3 linked regions of the Astyanax mexicanus genome follow. The protein of the gene in region 1 purifies or fractionates together with the protein of each later gene. This does not show direct contact. Links are inferred from orthologs where the notes say so. Each region holds a gene or a part of one and is shown in the gene's direction. Other genes may lie near its edges.

Region 1 (7,789 bases):
TAAATGGCGCTTCATCAAGCACCAACTAGCACAATGGTGCCTACTAGAGCATAGGATGGTGATGTGTAAGAAGGTCTAACACAATTGGAGACATTCTGTCACATTTAGAAATGATCAAAAGTCTTTCACCTGTTATTAATGTTGAGCAGAGGCACAAAGGAGTGAATGTTCTGATATGACATGTAATGTCAAGTTATTCTTAATCTAGTTCTGTATTAAATGGCGCTTCATCAGAGTGATATTGTACAGAGGTCTTTAACATTGTGAGATTACAGCAAATACTGCAGAGTTACAGCAATTTAGGTTAGAAATTCCAAGGACGCACAGATTGCTTGATGCCTGGAGAGTATTGTATGTGAAATTTTCACAAATGTTTTTAATGAACATTTACCTAGAGACTCTACAGTGTGCAGCAAGACTGAAATGGAGGTGATAGGCCAAATATCCAGAGAGTAGTTTCAATATAGCTATTTTCAAACAATTAGCAATTATGAATGAACAAAGCACTTTTTAAACATAGTTGTATTGAGAAATTTGTCAGAGCCACTGTACTAAATATGGCAAAAACAATTAGATGTCAAAATAGTACAGCATGATTGACATATACTCGTTTTTTTGGAACAGCGCCCCCCAGTGGGCGGATTGTTTCAGCACTTTGCAGGTCACTACAGTGTCTCCACCTGAACATAACTGCCAAATATCATCCAGATTGGGCAACATTCAGCCTGCCAAAATGTCTGCTGAATGCTGATTGGCTGATGGTGTTCAGCCATGTTGATTGATTAAGTTGCCCTTTGAACATCCTTTAGAGGCTGTATGATAGATTCTGCATGCAAAGTTTCAACTTGCTAGGTTGCACGGTTGCTGAGAAACAGTGCTCCAAATTTACCTCTTGAAGTGAATGGGGCATATATCCGGAAGGACTAATTTGCATATGGCGGCCATATTGTTTACATATTTCAACTTTTTCTTAATGAATATTGAAGCGCATGCTCTCACGAGTGTTTTGATACCAAACATGCCAGGATTGGTCAAAATTCCTAGGACTAGTTTGCAAAAGTAGGTTTTGCATATTATGCAAATTAGCAAAAAATCTATATAGACGGAAGTGCATGGTCCAAATTGGAAAGTTGTTGGTATTGACCCAAGGAATCCAGCAAAAAATAATTTTGAATGTAGGTCTTATGGTTTTTGAGTTATTGAGAAAATTGTGAAAAATGAATTTCCTTGTTTATAGCGCCACCACTTGACCAATCAGTGCCATTTTTGTTGTGCACCGAGATGCACTGATCCTACATCTACCTACCAAGTTTCATTTCTCTATGACTTACGGTTTAGGCTGCACAACTGTTTTTTCAGGAGAAAAAGAATAATAATAAATATAGCCGCAAGCGGCAATCATCGGGTTCAAGCACCAACTAGCACAATGGTGCCTACTAGAGCATAGGATGGTGATGTGTAAGAAGGTCTAACACAATTGGAGACATTCTGTCACATTTAAAATGATCAAAAGTCTTTCACCTGTTATTAATGTTGAGAAGAGGCACAAAGGAGTGAATGTTCTGATATGACATGTAATGTCAAGTTATTCTTAATCTAGTTCTGTATTAAATGGCGCTTCATCAGAGTGATATTGTACAGAGGTCTTTAACATTGTGAGATTACAGCAAATACTGCAGAGTTACAGCAATTTAGGTTAGAAATTCCAAGGACGCACAGATTGCTTGATGCCTGGAGAGTATTGTATGTGAAATTTTCACAAATGTTTTTAATGAACATTTACCTAGAGACTCTACAGTGTGCAGCAAGACTGAAATGGAGGTGATAGGCCAAATATCCAGAGAGTAGTTTCAATATAGCTATTTTCAAACAATTAGCAATTATGAATGAACAAAGCACTTTTTAAACATAGTTGTATTGAGAAATTTGTCAGAGCCACTGTACTAAATATGGCAAAAACAATTAGATGTCAAAATAGTACAGCATGATTGACATATACTCGTTTTTTTGGAACAGCGCCCCCCAGTGGGCGGATTGTTTCAGCACTTTGCAGGTCACTACAGTGTCTCCACCTGAACATAACTGCCAAATATCATCCAGATTGGGCAACATTCAGCCTGCCAAAATTTCTGCTGAATGCTGATTGGCTGATGGTGTTCAGCCATGTTGATTGATTAAGTTGCCCTTTGAACATCCTTTAGAGGCTGTATGATAGATTCTGCATGCAAAGTTTCAACTTGCTAGGTTGCACGGTTGCTGAGAAACAGTGCTCCAAATTTACCTCTTGAAGTGAATGGGGCATATATCCGGAAGGACTAATTTGCATATGGCGGCCATATTGTTTACATATTTCAACTTTTTCTTAATGAATATTGAAGCGCATGCTCTCACGAGTGTTTTGATACCAAACATGCCAGGATTGGTCAAAATTCCTAGGACTAGTTTGCAAAAGTAGGTTTTGCATATTATGCAAATTAGCACAAAATCTATATAGACGGAAGTGCATGGTCCAAATTGGAAAGTTGTTGGTATTGACCCAAGGAATCCATCAAAAAAAGAATTTTGAATGTAGGTCTTATGGTTTTTGAGTTATTGAGAAAATTGTGAAAAATGAATTTCCTTGTTTATAGCGCCACCACTTGACCAATCGGTGCCATTTTTGTTGTCCACCGAGATGCACTGATCCTACATCTACCTACAAAGTTTCATTTCTCTATGACTTACGGTTTAGGCTGCACAACTGTTTTTACAGGAGAAAAAGAATAATAATAATAATAATAAGAAAAATCTTAGCAAAAACAATAGGGTTCTACGCACCTTCGGTGCTTGAACCCTAATAATAATAAGAAGAAAAATCTTAGCAAAAACAATAGGGTTCTACGCACCTTCGGTGCTTGAACCCTAAATATTCATAAACCTACAGGAAATAATAATTTAGTGTGGTTTTACAAATTCCGAACAGTTTTTTTTTAACTTGCCAAGCACAGAAGCTTTTAAATTTGGCTCAGTCCCATTTCTCTTTTGTACCCCTACCCATTGATTTTAAGTGTAACCCATCCCTTTAGAACAAGGTTAACTAGGTAATTTTAGGTCATTGTAGGTCTTCAGGAAGGGGGCAGGTGGGGCAACAACTAATTGTTATTGCCCATTGCCCAATTCCTCTGTGATGGGAAGCTGAAATTATATTTTTTTAGCTTTTATTTCGTTTTTCCGATCCACCTTAAATGCTGCAGCCACTGCAGTCTGTTGCACCATTTAAGGTGTTACGGGAAAGGTAGCTAGAAACTAAGACAAACTGCTTATTGTTTTTTTTATTTGTTTTTTTTATTTTTTTTATGAAGAATATAGCTACAAAGTATTGAAACTTTAACATTAAACTATGTTAATATAACTAGTAGTTATTGTAAATTTTTTACCAAGAAAAATACTTTGTGGGTTTCTTTGTTCGTTTGTGCTGCCATCTTGCCAGTAATTCTCTGCCACCTTTTTTAATGTGTGCCTCTGAAAATCTCTATTTGAAGTGCCATATACCTCTAACATTTTACCCCAGGATTTACCCTGTGCAGGTAAGTTCTGTCTACCTGTAATAGTCAAAGGTGAGTTTCTGTGGCATGAACGAAGATGCAGTTCTATAAACTGAATGCAGTGTCTGTTGTGAGAAGACTACTCATGTTCCCATTTATCTTCATAAGGAGAATCTTCAAGAGATCAGGTCACATGCCGCAGTTCAGAGTGACAGCAGTTGTCTGGACCTGCCACCTGTCAGATGTGGGGGTTTTGAAACCTCACCACGCCTTACGGAGCCTCGTCCTTGTGTCCCACTGAGTTTCGGAGGGGCACTGGGTGATGTATGGGTTTAGGTTAGGGCAGAAGGGAGAGCTGATTGGGCTGAGCAAAGTAGCTCTGATAGCAGTGAGACGCAGATGATTGGACGTCAGCAGGAGGGGGCTGTATTATTGATTAACTGATTGTATATTGTGATGTGTCTGCATACCAAAGTGCACAGGCACATCATCCTCACCTTTAGCTCAGTTGAACCTGAGAGGGCGCTGCAGAAGCAAAGGAACTTCAAAGGGAACACATGTCAGCTATTAATGGAAATAATATGGTTTAGGGTTTAGTGCCTGTGGTTTGCTGTTGTAAGCTCTGTGCTGGCCAGGCAGTTTAAGCCACTGATTGGCTAAATGTATGTCTCTCTAGAAGGATGCACGCAGGTGATTGGTTACATCTTTTATTTGTCAGATTTTTGATAATTAGTGAACCCTGTCTCTGTCAAACAAACAACAAATAATTAAACAAAGAAGCAAATAAAAAAGAACAAACATAAATAAGCAAACAAATAAATACAGGGGTATGAATGAATTAATAAATAACTACATTTAATTTACAAATTTACATTACCGTCATAAAAATAAAAGTTTTTTATTTAAACGCAACCAATTGGTTAACCATTTCCATCAGTCCGTTACTGCTCAAGCCTCTGATTGGCTAAATTCATATCTTGTGTCCAGAGCCTGCTTGTGTCAAACGCATCTGTCTGTCAAGAAGAATACACGCAGATGATTGGTTCAACATTTCCATCAGTCTCTCATTCCTGAATCCGCTGATTGGCTAAACCCGTGTGAATTCACGCAAATGATTGGATCAACATTTCCATAGGTCAGTCGTCTCTGCATGTCTTAATCCTTTGATTGGCTGAACTCTCCTGTTCGTCAAAACCTACGCTAACCTCTGATTGGCTAAACCTCAGCCTGGCGTCACAGTCGCTCCCCCCACTTTACTATCCCACAATGCAGCGGGCGATGCCCAAGGAAAGATGGCTGAGGGAGGAGCGGCTGATCTGGACACTCAGAGAGGAGAGATCACAGCGCTGCTCAAGACGCAGCTCCGGAGAGGGGAGACGTGGTGAGAGCTGACCGCCGACCTTCCGCGCCTCCGGCCCTGCCGCTGCCGCGCCTAGCCGCCGCTGAGCGGAACGGGCAGCAGCGCGGAGGAGCCGTGTTGACAGCTAGTCACCGTTAGCCGTTAGCAGTTAGCTGGAAAGCGGAGACCGACAGCGGGCTGTGTGAGGGTTATTCAGCAAAACCGCAGACCCCCAGCACCTCCACAGCCTGCCCGGTTCCGGGGGCTGAGAGCCGGCCGACCCAACGCGCTCCTCTGTGGGTCTGGAGTTAGCTGGCACTCGCTAACGGGGCCATTCAGGGCGGAGACGAGACGAGACGCGAGGAGCACCTGTCATTTAGCTTCCCAGCTGCCCCCAAACATCTGAAGACGTTGTGTTAGCTATCTGGTTAAATGTAGGTCGAGACGTCGGGCGACCAAAATGCAGGGCAACGTCTAATGCCAAAGTCATTTGACATTGCTAGAGTATATTAACCTAGAGGATGTATTGGTGTTGTGGTGTTAAGTACTTGTCAAAGTTACCTAAATTAAACGTCTTCCAAACTTCACATGCCAATGTCACGTCAACATAACATACCACCATTTTGTTGTAACACATGAACAACATGTAATCATGGTACTGTCTACAAAACGTGAGGTTCTAAGATAGATTTACGTTGATGTTATTCAGCATTTGCCTATCATTGGTTTTTGACCAAAGTCCAACGTCTTTAAAACGTCAGGTACCAACATCATATTGACATATCATACCAACATTCAGATTTAAGTCATTAAAGCAAAAAAAACGTGTAATTTGGGGCCAGCTGGTATGGAAACTTAATTTAACGTCTGTCTAATGTTGGGACGTAATGTAAACCTGCTGTCTATCAAATTGACACAACATACCTATATTTAGGATTTAGACAAAGAAACAACAAAAAACAAAAAAATATAACACTCATAATGTTAATATCCACAAAAAGTGAAATACTAAGGTGGAAAGGTGGAAAGACATTGCAGTGGTGATCAGTAATCAGAATTCAGCCACTACTGTTAAGATGTTTTTGTTGGATATGTGATTTCCAACCAGAATTTAATCATTAAACAGATTTTCGTTTTGAACAAAACATCTGTCTGATGTTGAAGCTTTATGTCAATCCAATGTAGGTTTTTGACAGATATGTAAATTTGATTTCTAACCAGTAAAATGTTTGGTTTTTGAAGTCTTTGAAGCCTGATGTTAGAGTCCAACGTCTTTTTGACGTCAAATTGATAAATTGTGTCTGCTGAATTTCCTCTGCAGCTAAGCATTTGAAATGCGTTTAGGCTGATTGGCTCTGGAATCCCATGCTCAGATTGTGTATCTGCCTAGCTCTCTAGCCCTCCATCTAGCTGTCTAGCTCTTTGTCTGGGTGTGTATTTACTTTTTTATGCAGTGCTTATTTATCTATCTCTGTATCACGATATCTAGATTTTGCTGTCTACCTATATATATATATATATATATATATATATATATATATATAGCTTTTTGTCCAGCTGTCTATCTACCTGCCTGCATTGTTTGTTGTCTAGTTGTCTATATACTCAGCTATCTAGGTCTGTTTTGCTGTTTATCTACTTAGATGCTAGGTCTTTATCTAGTTATTGGACTACTTAGCTATAAAGCGCTGGAAAAAAAATAAGAGACACTTAAAGTTATCCAAAAGCAATGTGTAAGACTGGTGGAGGAGAACAAGCAAATATGCATAAAAAAACTCTAGGAATATAAATATTTGTGTTATTTGCATGATGTGAGGTCTGAAAGTTCGGCATCTTTCTCATTTTCTGCAAATAAATGCTCTGAATGACAATATTTTTATTTGGAATTTGGGAGAAATATTGTTCGTAGTTTATAGAATGAAACAACAATGTTCATTTTACTCAAACATTAACCTATAAATAGCAAACTCAGAGAAACTGATTCAGAAACTGAAGTGGTCTTATAATTATTTCCAGAGCTGTATATGTCTCCATATAAGTGTCTGTCTAGATAAATCTGGATCTAGCCTTCTAGCCAAATACAGATCTTGCTCCCTCTCTAGCTGTTTTTCTATTTGTACAACTGACTGTCTGTCTGCATAGCTATTTAGTTAACTGTCTATCTGTCTGGTGTGTGAACATGATTGCAAATGCTATAATTGGTTTACCTAATTGTAACCATTCCTATCCCTGGTTTATCTCAGGTACTTAATAGACAGTCACTGGTTCAAGCAGTGGAAGAAATATGTGGGCTTTGACAGCTGGGACAAGTATCAGATGGGGGATCAGAATGTCTACCCCGGACCGGTGGACAACTCGGGTCTCCTTAAAGGTTATTAACTGTTTCATATTAGTAAACCAATTTTTTTTTTGTTGAAAGTGTTACCTTAAAAATGAGCGATCATAAATAAGCTTTATTATTTATTGATCCAGAATGATGGTGGTGTTTTAGGAAACATCGTCCATATACTATAAAACATGAGCTCTTAGCCACACAATTGATCAGTGCTTATCTTTGCATTTTGTTCTTAGATGGCGATGTACTTGCCATTAAAGAGCATCTTATCGACGAGTTGGACTACATCCTCGTGCCCACTGAGGGCTGGAATAAGCTAGTGAGCTGGTACGGTCTGACCGATGGCCAGGAACCCATCGCCCGGAAGGTACGTATCTAAATTTGAGTATTCATGCTATGATGGGCTGTGTTATACAGAATGTGATGCAGGCAGTGTGATTTGAAAACGGTGCCAGTTCACGTGAAACCAGGGCTGGTTTTATTGCGCCTGTAATATCGGACTTAGCATATGTCCTAGTTGTGGTTGTGGCACATTAGATTTGCATGGAATCACACAGGAAGCATGTTCTGCTATTTCTGTCATATTAGTTC
Region 2 (7,252 bases), on another chromosome or scaffold:
AAGGGGACGAGGAGCTAAGCCTGAAGTCGAGAACCCACTTGTCATTTCTGCCTCACAAGAAGTACAAGAACTCAGTTTGCCCAAAGATGCAGATGAAAATATAAATGTTGTTGTGGAATTGGCAGCACCTGAACCTTTAGTAAAGCCCAAGGTCTCTGCTGCAAAAGTTAAAAGGGGGAGAAGAGCAAAACAGGAGCTGGAGAATCCACCAATTATCCCTGTGTCACATGAGCTGGCTGCACCTGAAGTTACTGTTGAGGAGAAGGATATTGCAATGGTAAATACTGTTGCTGAATCTGAAGCTACTGAAACTTCTGCAATTCCAGAGGTCTCCTTGAAGTCGCCAGTCCCTGTTGTGAAGGCTAAAAGGGGACGAAGAGCTAAACAGGAACTAGAGAATCCACCAGTTGTGCCTGAAGTTGCAGTTGAGGAAAAGGATGTTGTTGCTGAATCAGAACCTTCTGTGATCCCAGAGGTCTCCTTAATGTCACCAATCCCTGCAGTCAAAGCTAAAAGAGGACGAAGAGCTAAACAGGACCTGGAGAATCCACCTGTCCTAGCTGTTGCACATGAGCTGACTGTGCCTGAAACTGCAGTTGAGAATGAATCTGTTCCACCAGAGAGTGTTGAGCTTCAGACTTCTGTCGAAACTGATGTTGTTAAAACTAGTGCAAGAACACGGAGAGGTAGGACAACAAAGAAGGAAACTGCTGAACCCTCTTCAACTGCAGTGGAGGTAGATGTTACAAGTTCTGATTCTCTAGTGGTGGCTGATGAACTACCACAAATGCATGTGGTGAAGCCAGGACGTGGAAGGAGAGCCCCTCTAAAGGCTCAGCCAAGGGAGGATGCTGATGACCAACCAGCTGCTGCAGAAACAAGTCCAGCAGTCACAGAGACTGAGGAACATGTGGAAACTGTGGTGAAAAATGTCAGAGGATCAAAGAGGACAAAGCAGCCAAAATCATCTCAGGTTTTAGAAGATGCTCAGGAAAAGGTTGAAGATCATTCTGAAGTTGACCACGATGCTGATAAACAAACTGAGGCACCGGTCAATAAATCAGTGCGAGGAAAAAGAACTGCTGTTATCAGGGATGAACCAGAAGGTCTAGTTAAAAGAGGACGACGTGGTGCTGCTGCTTCTTCTGCTGAAGTGCCAAAACCTGTTGGCAAGCCTACTCGTGGCAGAAGAGCTGCTTTAAAAACTGAGCAAAAAGTTTCAGAAGTTGCCACTGCAGTTGATGAACCAGTCAAAGAGGCCAGTAATCTACCAGAGCCCAAGTCTGATGACCTTGCAACTTCCCAAGCAAGTTCTGAGGAAACTGTGTGTGATGTTGAGACCAGCGAGGCACCAGCTAAGCGAGGAAGAGGGAGATATGCCAAAAAAGGAAAGGTTGTAGCCAAAGGTACTTCTGTCAAAGCAGATGACACTTCAGCCACTGAGGAAGCTGATGTGGAAAATAAAAAGAAAGCCTCCAGGAAGGCAGTCAGTTGGAATTCTGATCTGGTGGCCTCAAAGAACATTGAGACCGTGGAGCCTCCAGCAGCTGAAGATGTGCCTCAGCAGAAGTCCTCCAGAAAGAAAGCTGAACCTGCAGCTAAGGCTTCTACTGATGATGTACCCGTCTCTGACACCAAGCAGTCTGCAGAACCGCCAGCCAAAGGCCGCAAAGGTAGAATGGTTAAAAAGCCAGAAGAACAACCTGCAGAAAAGTCTGAGCCAGCTCCTGTAGAAAATGTGCCAGCGGTCAGGAGAGGAAGAGCAGGCGCTTCATTAGACTCCAAGCAAGATGAAGTGGCAGCTGTTCTTAAAAGGGGAAGCAAAAGAAAAGAGCTTGATGTTTCTGATGAAGCAACCACACTGGAGTCATTGTCCAAGAGAAGGAAAGGCCAAGCTGATGGTGCTGAAGCTCAGAAAGAAGTGGCTGTAGTTGGCAGAGGAAGAAGGGCAGCTGCTAAGGAGGCCATAGAAGAAACCCCTGAGGTTGAAAAGGAACAAAGTGAATCTGCATCAAAAAATTCTGACAACAAACCTGTAAGGGGCAAACGAAAGGCAGCTCAGGAAGTAGATTCCATCTCTGCAACATCTGAAGAGCCCGTCTCAGGTGAGAAACTATTACTTTCAACAGTTTTAAGTTTTATTCATGCGCTCAGGTCTCATTCTAGTTATCTTGTATAAAACCACCTTCTCCTTCACTTTTGAATTTATACTCAATCAGATTTTAAACATTTTAATTGCGTTCCTAAATTGGGTACTTTTACCTTTCTTTTAAGCCAAGATGTAATTTGAATATTTTGTATGGATTGTGCAGTCAGCAATTGCCCTGTATTGAAGATTAAATCAACTATTAAATATGATTGATACATTGATTTATATAGCCTTCTCATCTGTTTTGATTATATTTAAAAAGGATAAGGTTTACACAAGTTTAAACAGTTTTAAAACAACTAGGCTGTAACTTTGTTATTTTTTTTTTCTTCATTCACTAATTGTAGTATCAGAATATGCCCAGCATAACCAGGTGAATTTTCTGTATTTATTTCTTTATTTATTTTAAACACAGAAACCTCCAGTCGACGAGGAGCCAGAGTCCAGAAGAAAACTGAGATTGAGGTTTCTTCAGCTCCTGTGCGGCGAACAAGGAGAAAATGATCTGCTGGTGTTGATCAGTTGTAAATATTCAAAAGCAAGAATCAGTTTTTTATATATCAGGACCCATCAATTATGATAGCACTCTCTCTTTGTTCATTAATATGTTTTTATTGTTAAACAGTGTTTTATTGTTTTTAAAAAGACGTGAATATAATTTTTCAAAATATTCATTTTTTAGGGTTTAAAGGACTGGAAAATGTATGCCCTTTTTGGTCAGTAAAACCTTGCTGTTTTTCTACTTTTGCTTGATGATTCAAAGTGACCATATTCTATGCTATAGGTTTTAGGTTGTGTCCGGTGTTTGTTAAAAGAAAAAATAAACAATTTGTGGGTTAGTAAACAATTGTTCTTCCGAATTGTCACCAAACTTTACTCTTAAAAATGTCTTAATGCATCTTAATCTTTTGATTTAATCTTTGGAGAACAAGGTTTACATCAATAAAATCCATCTCAATCCCTCAGTGTTGGTCTTGTTTATTAAAATGTTTTGTTTGGTAAAAATTTGGTAAAGGTTCTTGAGGTCTGAATGTCTTTTATTGGTGCTAAATCATTTTCATATATTTAATTGCAATACTTGTGGGGTATTTATTTCTTATGTCTCACATACGCACACAGCTGATGGCATGTCTGGAATATGGAGCCACAATAGTGTTTTTCTTCTAATAAAGTTCTAAGTTAAACTCAGTCACTCAACACAGTAACTTATTTTAAAAGCTTTAAATATATCCTGAAAGTTTGACCATACTACATTATCACTGCTCCTCTCCCAAAAGTACAGGCACCATTAAACAAAAAAGAAATTATTTTAATTATGAATTATCACAGAATATTGTGGTGATTAGTATAATTTTAAATGATTAACACCCCTAATATAAATATAATTTAGCCAGTCTCACACGGATTCTGTTATTTATATTTTAATACCCATTAATATAAGTGTAATAAAATCTGGAAGGCCCCATGGTTTATGCATAAGTGCATTGTTTGCTATTTACACTGATGTTTTTAATGTTTTTGACTCAAGTTCATTTAAAATGCCTTAAATATATATTTTCCATTACTATGTTGAGCCACCTATTATACAATATGAGACTTTTACAAACATTTTTGAATAATTCAAAATTATTTATTACATCGATATGGTCAAATTTAAAGAAATTATCCTAAATCTCTGGTGGTGCTGAGTATGAAGGACCAAAACTACCAAAATTATAAATAAATAAATATATAACTTCAGAAATTAACTAAGAAAAAATTGGTATAAAATCAGTAATAAATGGATACATTCATACATTAATTGTATAAAGAAATAAATACAGCAACTAGAGTATTTGTATTTGTAGACGTTATTCTTTTCATTTCTGCATTTTATATATTCCTCTATTAAATTATTTCAATATTTATTTATATTTTATATTAATTCTTATTATTTATTTTTTATAACCATATTACTTTTATTAAATAATTTACTTACGTTTGTATGTATTTATTTTTAGATTTAAAAAAATAAATCGTAAATCTTAGGCAGGTCTGGTGGCAGGTCCGCTGAAGCAGTAACGTTAACTTAGTAGGGGGGAACTGAAAGGCGGTGGTTGAAGTTTCCGGTGTTGTTTAATGCTGCGGGACCGAGCCTCGCTCTGTGGAGGGAGATTTAACTTGTGCTTAGCTTAGCTTAGCATTCCTCACTCTCGAGCAGCAGCGTTTCCAGCAGGATGGAGACGAGTGAAGACATCAGGACCACGCCGAGGGGCTTCTACTGCAAACTGTGCAGCATTCACACCCCTAACCGTGAGTCCGGGGGAGAGAAATACAGATAAATTAGCGCAACTTAGCTTAGCTTAGCGCTGCTAATGTATGCGTTCTCTGAGCACGCTGACTAAAACTAACCACAGACCTGCATCTAAAACTAGCTAACCTAACTATTTCTCACGAGTCTAAAGTGAAGAGCTGAGAAAAGCTGGGGTTAAAGGTTTATCAGTGTATACATTTTTAATTAAATGTTAAAATTAAATGTGTTGTCTGAGCCCATTAGCTTAGCTTACTGTTCTAGAAGTTTCTTAGTTAAGTAAGTTTCTGTTTCAGCTGTAGGCATTTTTTTTTGTTTGCCTTCGCATAAGAACCCGAGTAAAATTTAGGCTCATATTAAAACAAAGTCTTTCTGTGAGCTCGGTTGCTGCATTATTAGCTAGATAAATGGTTAATTAATAGGTGATCAAACTTCATTCACAGAGTATTCATTCATTCATTTATTCATTAAGAATTTATTGTGAAATGCTCCACAGCTTATTGTTAACAATGGTGGTGAAAGCTCTCTTACAGAAATGTAACTTATTGCATATAACGTTACCAGACCAACATGGTGATCTAAGAGTTACAGACCCTTTAAAAGCTTTAAAAACCTCTTTCACTACTGTACTTAATTTTCAAAATGCTGTATCTACTGGAATATTATTCTTCTCCTAATTCCACTTTTACTTCACTACATTTTGTACTTTTTTTTTTTTCTTTCTAATTTTTTCCCCAATTTACACGACCAATAACCCAACCCACTCATTAGGACTCCCCTTTCACTAGTGATGCCCCAACACCAGGAGGGTGAAGACGAGCATGTGCCTAGTGTTGCCAACTCCTCAGTAAGGAAAGTAGCTATTGGCTTTACTAAAAGTCGTTAGAAGTCGCTAAATGAGGTCATCGCCTAATTTGCATAATACCTGTTTTTGAAGCTGTGAAGGGTTAACGTTTGGGAGAGAAAAAAGTTAATAAAAAACACCCTAAATTTGTTAGAAATGTTACAAATAAACTCTAACTAATGAACAACTTCTGTTGCTTTTTAAATAGGCATGTCACTTCCTAAAATAACTTTAACATAAATTTCAGGGGTTTTTTTGTTTTGTTTTGTTTTATTTTATTAAGTTTTCTTTATTTTTAAACCTATTATACACATTGTTCAATGATGAGCTAGCTTGCTAGATGTTTAGCTTTTTATAAATAGACATCACCCTCTGGAGTGATGTGGGGAGAGAGCACCATCTACCCACTCAGAGAGAGCAAGGCCAATTGTGCTCTTTCAGGGAGCCAATGGCAAGCTACATGAACAGAATTCAAACTGGCGATCTCCTGATCATAGTTGCTGCGCTTAGCCTGCTGGATCACCCAGAGCCCTATACATGAGTTTAATACTTTAATTCTGATCATTTTTTATGTGCTCTATCATTATTTTTACAGTAATAAAAATGTTAATCATTCCAAAATCACATTATCCTTAAAGCCAGAGCGGTACATGCTCTTGATTATCAGTTAAGTGATTCAAGCGATCAAGCTGATCTTATAAAAAGACCTCCCTGCTCCCATTCTGCTTTTCACGCTGAGACCTTACCACTGCTTTCTGTAATAACTATATAACACAGTATTGTACTTTTACTTTTTAGTACTTTAGTACTACATCCTAAAATAATCTCCTTACAATCATTTGTTCAACTTTAGTACTTCCACTTGTGGTGCTAAAAGAACACGTCAACTTCTACTCAAGTTACTGTTTTATAGAGTACTTGTAGTTTTAATCAAATCTTGGTCTCTAGTACTTTATACATGTCTGTAAAATTCCTTACAGCTCTCTTGCCATAACTTTAACTTAAGCAGTCCCTAAGTGACAGGTGTAGGTGTGGTGGTTTAGTGCTGGAGATAAATTGCTCGTAAAAGTGTATTTTTTTTATTTATTTATTTATTTTTTGCTTTTACAGCTCTGTTGCCATCTTTTTAACAAATCAGATGCTTTAATAAACTGTTTCACATTCCATATAAGTAGTTCTGTCATGATTTATTATTTATAGTTTTAATATTGTTGTTGTGCCATTTATGTTGCATTAGGATTTTAATGCTGTAATATGTACAGTCATGTCCCTTTTTTACTACAGTAAGAAAAGAAACACGAGTTAGCTCTGAGACTTCGGACGAGAAATGAGAATATTGGTTGTTCTGAGATATTGGCAGGAATAGTACCTTGTATTTAACAAATAAATGAGGGCTTAAATGAGGGGGATGTGCTCTATTTTCTTAGGGCCTGAGAGCCAGCTGCAATTAGGACTCACTGTAAACTTCAAAATATCCTCGTTTTTTGACACTGCTTTATAGTCCATTACAGTAATCCAAACGATACAAAATGATGGCGTAAATGACATTTTTCACATGCTAGGAAAATATCAGTGTCATTTTCTATAAAGTGTTGTGTACCATTTAACTACACCAAGCTCTGAATGACTAATTAGTCCCATGTTTTTTAACCAGGGCCGAGTCTGGAAGCACATTTGAAAGGAAAGAAGCACCAGCACCTCTGCAGGCTGCGGAGCAAGAGGGATGCTCAGGTGGAGAGCAGCATCTATGTCAGCGGCATTAAACCGACTACATCCAGGACGGAGCTCGCTGAGTATTTTGAGCAGTTCGGCCCTGTGTCTGAAATAATCATGGACAAGGACAAGGTCAGTGTGTTTTTTAATTAAAGACAAGTAAGTTGTTCCAACACACACTTTTGATTAAAGGTCTCCTTCTGCTAAAATCCAATTTTTTTTTCTTTGTGAACAAAACAATTGGTCTCTCTGAATT
Region 3 (7,250 bases), on another chromosome or scaffold:
GCATATATGGACACTGGGTGAAGAAAGGGGAACAACAGAACCGGGCTGCTCTTTTCCAGAACACCACTAAAATTCTTCTTGTTGGTTTAGAGGACCTTGAGAACTAGATCCATTATTTTCCTGTATCTAACGATACTTCACTATTTTGCATTATAAGTTATAACACAGTTCAGGGACTATAGGCATTCATCCGTCCAGAGGCGCACAAAACAGATTTGTACTATTTATTCATGATTACTGTTTCATTAACAATGAGAGGTGCTTCATTCATTCATTCAATGTTACATGCAAGTAATCTGACCTCACTTTTACTGTTTCACTGTATTATGATCAGGTTGCTCTTGAATGTATGAACAGACCTGTAGCATACTAAGTGTACTGCTTGTGTATAATCTAAAAATATAATATGCAGATTGGGGATGACTAGATTGGGGTTGCTGGCTATTGTAACTCTGTTTACATTCCAACAGACCAGCGGCTATTCTTGGGTGTTATATAATCTTGTTGAATTTAAACACTGTAAGTGTCCTAATGATTGTTACGTGCATTACCAGAGGTTTATTTACTGGCTAATTTGTAAATTACCAGATTGTGGATGACAGGTAACTACTGTATTGTACATCTAGTTTTAGTTTTACTTTGTTTATATCTTAGCTCAGATACATTATTTTACTGCAGCATTTACATCTTTCTGATAAGCAATGTATGGTTGCTTTCCTGATCACTTTCAGAAGATTTATTTTAATATATTTGACCACTTATTCCTTTTCATCTATGATAACCAAACACCATGTTTTTATGACTGAGTACTGTACTGATTGTGACTAAAAAAGCAAATATATTACTATATTATTATTTATGAGTTTGCTGTTGTCTAGTTTTCTTTTCTTTTTTTCTTTTTTTTTTTTACTTGTTTGATAAACCATATAGTTAGTTTTATAAAGCATGTATGTTTAAGGTGTAAAATAGGGCTGCGACAAACAACTATTTTGATAGAATAATCTACTGATGAGTAAAACTATATGTATTTACCTTTTTTTAATGAAAATAACTTATGAAGAAAGAATTTTATTGAAAAATAATTTCCAAATTGAAATACAGCAGTTTGATAAAATACCCAGATGGTGTGAAGTTGATTGGTCACTTCTTAGATCGAATATTAGCCTCCAGCACAGTAAGAGCTGTGTTTAGCTGATCAGTACTTTCCTGAAGCCGTTTTTCTAGCTGAGCTGTCAAGCGCATCACTTCATCCTTTACTTCTTTTTCCACGATTGTCCGGAGCTCTGTTTTTGGGGATGGACCTAATGATAGAAAAATCAAGCGTCTGCTTCTTGAAATTCGTACCATATTCTTATTATACATTTTTGCCCAATACTGTCTCTTATTTTAGGTTAATCCACAGTGTACATAATGCATTACACAGTATATTATGTTATTCTGCTATTCTTTTTACGTGTACAGTGGTGTGAAATTGTTTGCCCACTTTATGATTTTTTTTTTTCTTACAATAATCTCCTGCTATATAAATACCTTGGTGAAGTGTTTCAGTGTCTGTGGTCAGAATTTCTGCTGATGCCGTTTCCTCACTTGTACTGCCTGCCACCTTCCCTGTTTCATTCTCCGCACCTGTAGCATACTCTAAGGTACAGAGATAAATCAGTCTCAAAGCTGACTTCAAAAATCTGAAAGTAAAACAATTGTTATTGTATTGAAATACTGAGTTTACCATCACTGGCTTCTTCCTCTGAAGCAGCTTCCTCAGGCATTCCAGTGTAAGACAATGATAAGTCCAAATACATCTTCACCAGCAGTGAGGGGAGTAAAATGTCCCATCGATTATTAAAATTCTACCATGCCAGAAATTCTGCACATTTTTTAGACTGTAAAAATTAGGATCCCCAACATACCTGTGGTGTAAATATGTACTTGTACAGCTTGTAGTGTCTCATATATGTGTTGGTAAGATATTGAAGAATCTGGGTCAGTTGTTCTGCATCAAAAAGATGGACACTGAAAGGAGGTCTCTAGAGTGTACAAAAAAGCAATGTATTTGAAGTTGATTTTTGAAGATTTTTTTACCCAAAATGTTCAATTAAATGTGTTTACTTTTTTATTACAATAATTATGTACACACTCTGACAGAATGACAAAGTAGAAGTTCACTGCAGTAGGAAAAGCACTGGTCCATGTTGTTGAGGGGGGTTTCTGTCATGTGAGAAAGAAAATATGGTTTCGGGAGAGTTTATAAAAGGACGTATCAGTGTTGAAGTAGTGTCACAAATCTTGACAGTGAGTAGGCCTGTCATGATAAATATTTTTGTTTAGACACTATTGTCTCAGAATTTACTGCAATAAACGATATTATTGTGATTTTAAGACCACTTTATACTACAGATAACTTTTAAATGATCAAAAAATCTTCATATATTAGTAAAAGTTGAAGTAAAACCTGTTAAAATCTCCTAAATAAATAAAACATAAAATAAAATGCTGTTTTTGAAGTTGAGAGTGAGCGCATTCACATTAAAGGGCTTAAACACAGAATACCAGAACTGAGAGCTGAATGTAGTAGTGACCATGCAGCTCGATTATAAAATATCAACTCCATACGCAGACTAAAAATCTAGATAATTTTAAGATAATGTGTCACCTGTGTTCAACTGATGTACATTCTTCACAATGGAGAGAAGAACAGATGTTTGCTCCCGGTTAAAATGTTGCTCCCTGCAAAACCTCACTAAATTTGTGAACATCTCCAGCAGAATTCCCAGTCGTGGCTCGGGCAGATCGAGTTTTAATGCACGACACAGAATTCTGAAAACAATGTGACATAAAAAAATGTTATGTAATTAATGTATTATTTATTAATTACTAAAAATAACCCATAAGAGACCCAGGTCCCTTTCTGTATAATGATGCCAAAAAAAAAAAAATTATCAGATACTTCCAGTAAGCAGCTCTTTCATGTTTTTTCTTATTGTGGGCACATGACCCATGAAATATTTTGAGACTAAAATCCTGATGTGACATAAATAACACAACAATAATTTCTTCTGTTTAAACATTTTGTTCCAGAAATCATATCAATATAAAAATGTAAAATCGAATTGTTTAATTTTAATTGTTTAAAAAAGGAGCTATATCTCCAGCACTAATTCAGAACACCTACATTCTGTAAATAAGATCAAAATGAATTAACACAGAATTAACTGTCCTGTGACGCTTTCAGGATGTTTAGTATATTTTTATTGGCTTTATGAGTTAAACTGAAGGACAGAGCTTTTAAAGGGTCTGTGACACACGTGTCACATCAGGCTCTTTTGGGGAAAAAAAATAAAAATGTAGGCAAACCTTTCTGTGTCTGTTATTGAATCTGCCTTGTCCATTTCCTCCATGTCACTGTAACTCAGGTCTGCCCTGCAGATTCAGCATTAACAACAGTGTTTAACAGCTGCTATTTACAGTAAGTCATTTTTAATTAAAAAGTAATGGTCTATAACTATAACATACCATAACAGGACTCTGGCTTTTGGAATGCATGGCTCCTGAAAACAAGTCACAAAAACAACACTCAAAAACTCATCTCTAATTTCAATTTAATGTTATAATTGCTCTACATATCTTTCCAGAATCTCTCTTATATCATACCAGTGTTTCCTTCTTCATGTTGATCCTTGTAGTTGAAGGATAGACATATTATAAACACAGTAAATTTAAATCCAGCTGTTTACTACAGTGTGTTCGTTCCCTCTAAACAAAAATGTAACGGAGGACTGTCAGTAAATTGCTTTGTGTTGTACTGTATCCTAGCAACAACACCCGGGTCTCTTCCACGACAGAGCAGGGCGGATAAATTTTGTAAAATTAAAAGTACTTAAAAGTTTGTGCTTTAGAACGAAAGCAATATATATATATATATATAAGAAATCAATATTTGGTGAAATAACCCTGGTTTTTAATCACAGTTATAATGCATCTTGGCATGTTCTCCACCACCAGTCTTACACACTGCTTTTGAATAACTGCAAATAAATGCTCTAAATGACTATTTTTATTTGGAATTTGGGAGAAATGTTGTCTGTAGTATAGTATAAAATAACAATGTTCATTTTACTCAAACATATACCTATAAATAGCAAAATCAGAGAAACGGATTCAGAATCTGAAGTGGTCTCTTACTTTTTTGCCAGATAAGTATAGCTAATTTTTCCCCACGTTTGTAGTGACTTTTATTGTGAAGCCAGAAGCTCGCCTCTCTAATATTCCTCCGTATCCGTTTCGCACTGCTACTGCCGTTCCTATCCAGTACGGTTAGCGAAGGTTTGTGTATGTGTTCAGATAAATGTACCATATTCCTTCATATTAATTAAGAAACTGTGAAGTGTGGGTTTGTTCGGAAGGCGCAATCTGAGGTTACATTATTATTCTACAAACTGTGGCTTTAGGTTCAGTGAAAATCCCCTGTATTTACTCATATTTTACGTAGTTGGCTCTTTAGCTAGTTAGCTAACGTTACCTGTCGGAGCTAGCGCTAGCTAATGCTAACTAGCTTAGCTAAATCGTATTAGCTGTAAACACCGGCAGTAACTAATGAATCTACAGTTTTAAATAATATGTTGATTAGAGATAATAGTTGTAGTTTTATCGCTGTATATATGAGCGTAGATTAAACCTGTGCAGCGTGTTGCGATATATGGGCCGCTGTCCCGAGGGTCGGCCCTCTGTAGCAGTTAATACAGCATTAGCAAAGTAAAAAAGAACGATTCAGTTCGGGGTACATTTGTTTATGGTCGATTTAGCTAATCTAGTTTAGTGATTTAAGCTACATTGTCAACAAAACTTTCAGATATTTAAACTAATCTAGCTAGCTAATCTCTTGAGATAATATTAGCCAAGTCTATGTATGTATACACTGTAAACATCATTACACACAACTGCAAATAGAACTTACACCAATTTCCAGACCTGTATAAGTTTTCTGTATAAGTTTTGGAAAAAGTCATGAAAAAATATTTTCCGTTTATTCACTGTTTTGGTTTTAAATTGATTTAAGGTGCTGATTTAAAAAAATAAAATGCTGATTTAATGCTGCCAGGCTCCATTCAGACACATATAACACAGAGTGGTGCAAAACATGCAGAAATGTAATTCAGCTATTTTTTAGGTGAGATATATAGGTCACTATAACCAGTTTTTGCAATGTCTGTACTGATGATCAAAGATCGTATGGTCATTAAAAATGGCCACGAAGGCATTGGTTCAAAAGTTTAGGTACCTTGCTTACATTAGCTACTGCATTTACTTTCAGTTACTTTGATAGCTATGTTTTTGTGTTTTGTTTCAATCTATATTCTCTCTATAATAAAGGAACCATGTCTGGCACGGGGGGCAAGCGTGCCTCAGGAGGGGACAGTCCTCCTGGCCCCCCAGAAAAGAAGATGAAGAAAGAAGAGAAAACTACAACAACCCTCATAGAGCCGATTCGTATTGGAGGGGTTTCCTCAACTGTGAGTTCCTGTTAGACAAAACTTTTTGGGTGTCTTTACAGTGATACTGTAAATGTCAGGCTCCGAACTGAAGCAAAACCCATGTTTACTCTTTTGTATCACTCTGTGCTTTGCAGGAGGAAATGGACATGAAGGTCATTCAGTTTAAGAACAAGAAGTTGTTTGAACGCCTTGAGCAAAGACAAGCTATTGAAGATGAGCTGAGAGAGAAGATTGAGAAGCTGGAAAAAAGACAAGCAACTGATGATACTACACTTCTGATTGTTAACCGCTACTGGACTCAGGTAATACGCACACCTAGTGAGTAAGTGGGACAGTAGAGTATAGTAGTGGGGGGAGCTATAAGTGTGACCCCATGCTTTAGGTGCAGGATTTATCATTAGCCCTGTATTACATTGCTTACTACTCTCTTTGTAATGTATGTGGATGGGTGTCAAAAAACAGTTTCGGGAACATAGAATTAATTTGTGTAAGCAGCTAAATGTTACCGGAAATATAGAATTAATATACTTTTAGATTACATTAGATTATATAGTTGTTTTCCACACCTCTTCTGTTGTGTTTACATTCTTCTGTTGTGTAACATTCAATGAGGTACTGTTATCTTACTGTAAGGAGCATAAATAGTTGGCTCATCTATTGTGAGCATGATACACAATATTTAAAGTGATACTTTTAGATGTAGACAAAGTGCACCAATATCTGCACATTTAAAAGATTTGCTGCAAAAAAAAATAGAAATTAAAAAAAGAAGAGCTTTTAATATAATTTTTGTGCACATATATGTGTTTAAATCTGTTTTGTGTATGTCAATAATGTAATATTAGCTCAGTGTATTTCCTACTGTAGAAACACTGAGTGCAGGGTCGAAAAATAGTGTGAATGGTACGATATTATAGTATTATAAGTACTTTAATGTGCTTTTATTAAATGAATAATTGTAAGACCATGTCTATAATTATTGGATAATGTGTAAAATATATATTTTTTAAATCTTGGATATACCTCTGGGCTGTAATTTCATATAGGATGTGACAATATGATTATAGTATAATTATAATTAACAATATAATTATCTGAGGAAAATGTTTCATCATATTATTGCAAATTACAAACTTTAATTTTTTTATGTACTATGCATACATGTATTTATGAAGAGCAGAGGAAAACCTTAATTCGTTCAATTTGTCTCTTTCTTCATGCAGCTGGATGAAAATGTTCAAGAATTACTGCAACGTGTTGAGCCTAAGGTTACTCCACTGACTGCGAAGACTCCTGCTAGTCCTCCAGCCTCTGCACCTGCCACTGTTCCTGCAACAGCCACCTCACCTGCCCCTGAATTTTCTGCCCCTCTGGTGGAAGGAGAGGATGGACTTCCTCAGCCTCCAGCTCCAGCAGAGGAGGAGGAACAGCAGCAGCAGCCCGAACAGGTACCACAGCCGGAGTCGCAACCGGAACAAGTGAAGAATCAGCCTGATGTGGATGTGAAGCCTCCTGAAGGTCCAGTACAGGATGGAATACCAGGTAACCACACATTTTTTTTTATTTATTTATTTTTAAATATAATGCACGTTATATCAGTATGTGGAATTTCAAACTAACATGCAAACGTTGCCGTGACTGCTGTGCATCAAGGAGTAACTGTACCAATCGTATGTATTTCTAAACACCTTAAGTTTTCTTAAGGCTTTAGACATTTTTGTGTTCTGTACTTAAAAGCAGATGCAAGGGCATTTTTCATTG

Evidence for each region. Proteins that work in one complex are often made in the same cells at the same time.
Region 2: the proteins of ubiquitin carboxyl-terminal hydrolase 15 (region 1) and tut1 purify together in Homo sapiens (affinity purification with mass spectrometry; 4 studies listed by BioGRID and IntAct, with this or other methods). This does not show direct contact. The link is inferred for Astyanax mexicanus from reciprocal best matches to the Homo sapiens genes USP15 and TUT1.
Region 3: the proteins of ubiquitin carboxyl-terminal hydrolase 15 (region 1) and rnf40 purify together in Homo sapiens (affinity purification with mass spectrometry; 4 studies listed by BioGRID and IntAct, with this or other methods). This does not show direct contact. The link is inferred for Astyanax mexicanus from reciprocal best matches to the Homo sapiens genes USP15 and RNF40.

The regions. Positions count from the first base shown.
Region 1 is NC_064409.1:16,810,681-16,818,469, forward strand, and holds the start of ubiquitin carboxyl-terminal hydrolase 15, read left to right. Parts: upstream 1-4,776; 5' UTR 4,777-4,816; coding exon 4,817-4,905; intron 4,906-7,106; coding exon 7,107-7,234; intron 7,235-7,434; coding exon 7,435-7,565; intron 7,566-7,789. UniProt on the Homo sapiens protein: Hydrolase that removes conjugated ubiquitin from target proteins and regulates various pathways such as the TGF-beta receptor signaling, NF-kappa-B and RNF41/NRDP1-PRKN pathways.
Region 2 is NC_064422.1:21,759,927-21,767,178, forward strand, and holds the start of tut1 (speckle targeted PIP5K1A-regulated poly(A) polymerase), read left to right. Parts: upstream 1-4,250; 5' UTR 4,251-4,365; coding exon 4,366-4,441; intron 4,442-6,937; coding exon 6,938-7,128; intron 7,129-7,252. Other genes in the region: mki67 (proliferation marker protein Ki-67), read left to right, coding at 1-2,105, 2,565-2,653. UniProt on the Homo sapiens protein: Poly(A) polymerase that creates the 3'-poly(A) tail of specific pre-mRNAs. Localizes to nuclear speckles together with PIP5K1A and mediates polyadenylation of a select set of mRNAs, such as HMOX1.
Region 3 is NC_064422.1:30,430,435-30,437,684, forward strand, and holds the start of rnf40 (E3 ubiquitin-protein ligase BRE1B), read left to right. Parts: upstream 1-4,248; 5' UTR 4,249-4,320; exon of another isoform or gene 4,321-4,326; intron 4,327-5,367; 5' UTR 5,368-5,372; coding exon 5,373-5,507; intron 5,508-5,623; coding exon 5,624-5,791; intron 5,792-6,712; coding exon 6,713-7,031; intron 7,032-7,250. Other genes in the region: phkg2 (phosphorylase b kinase gamma catalytic chain, liver/testis isoform), read left to right, coding at 1-107; ccdc189 (coiled-coil domain-containing protein 189), read right to left, coding at 1,141-1,301, 1,531-1,638, 1,727-1,799, 1,908-2,024, 2,135-2,205, 2,651-2,814, 3,352-3,417, 3,511-3,545 and 1 more.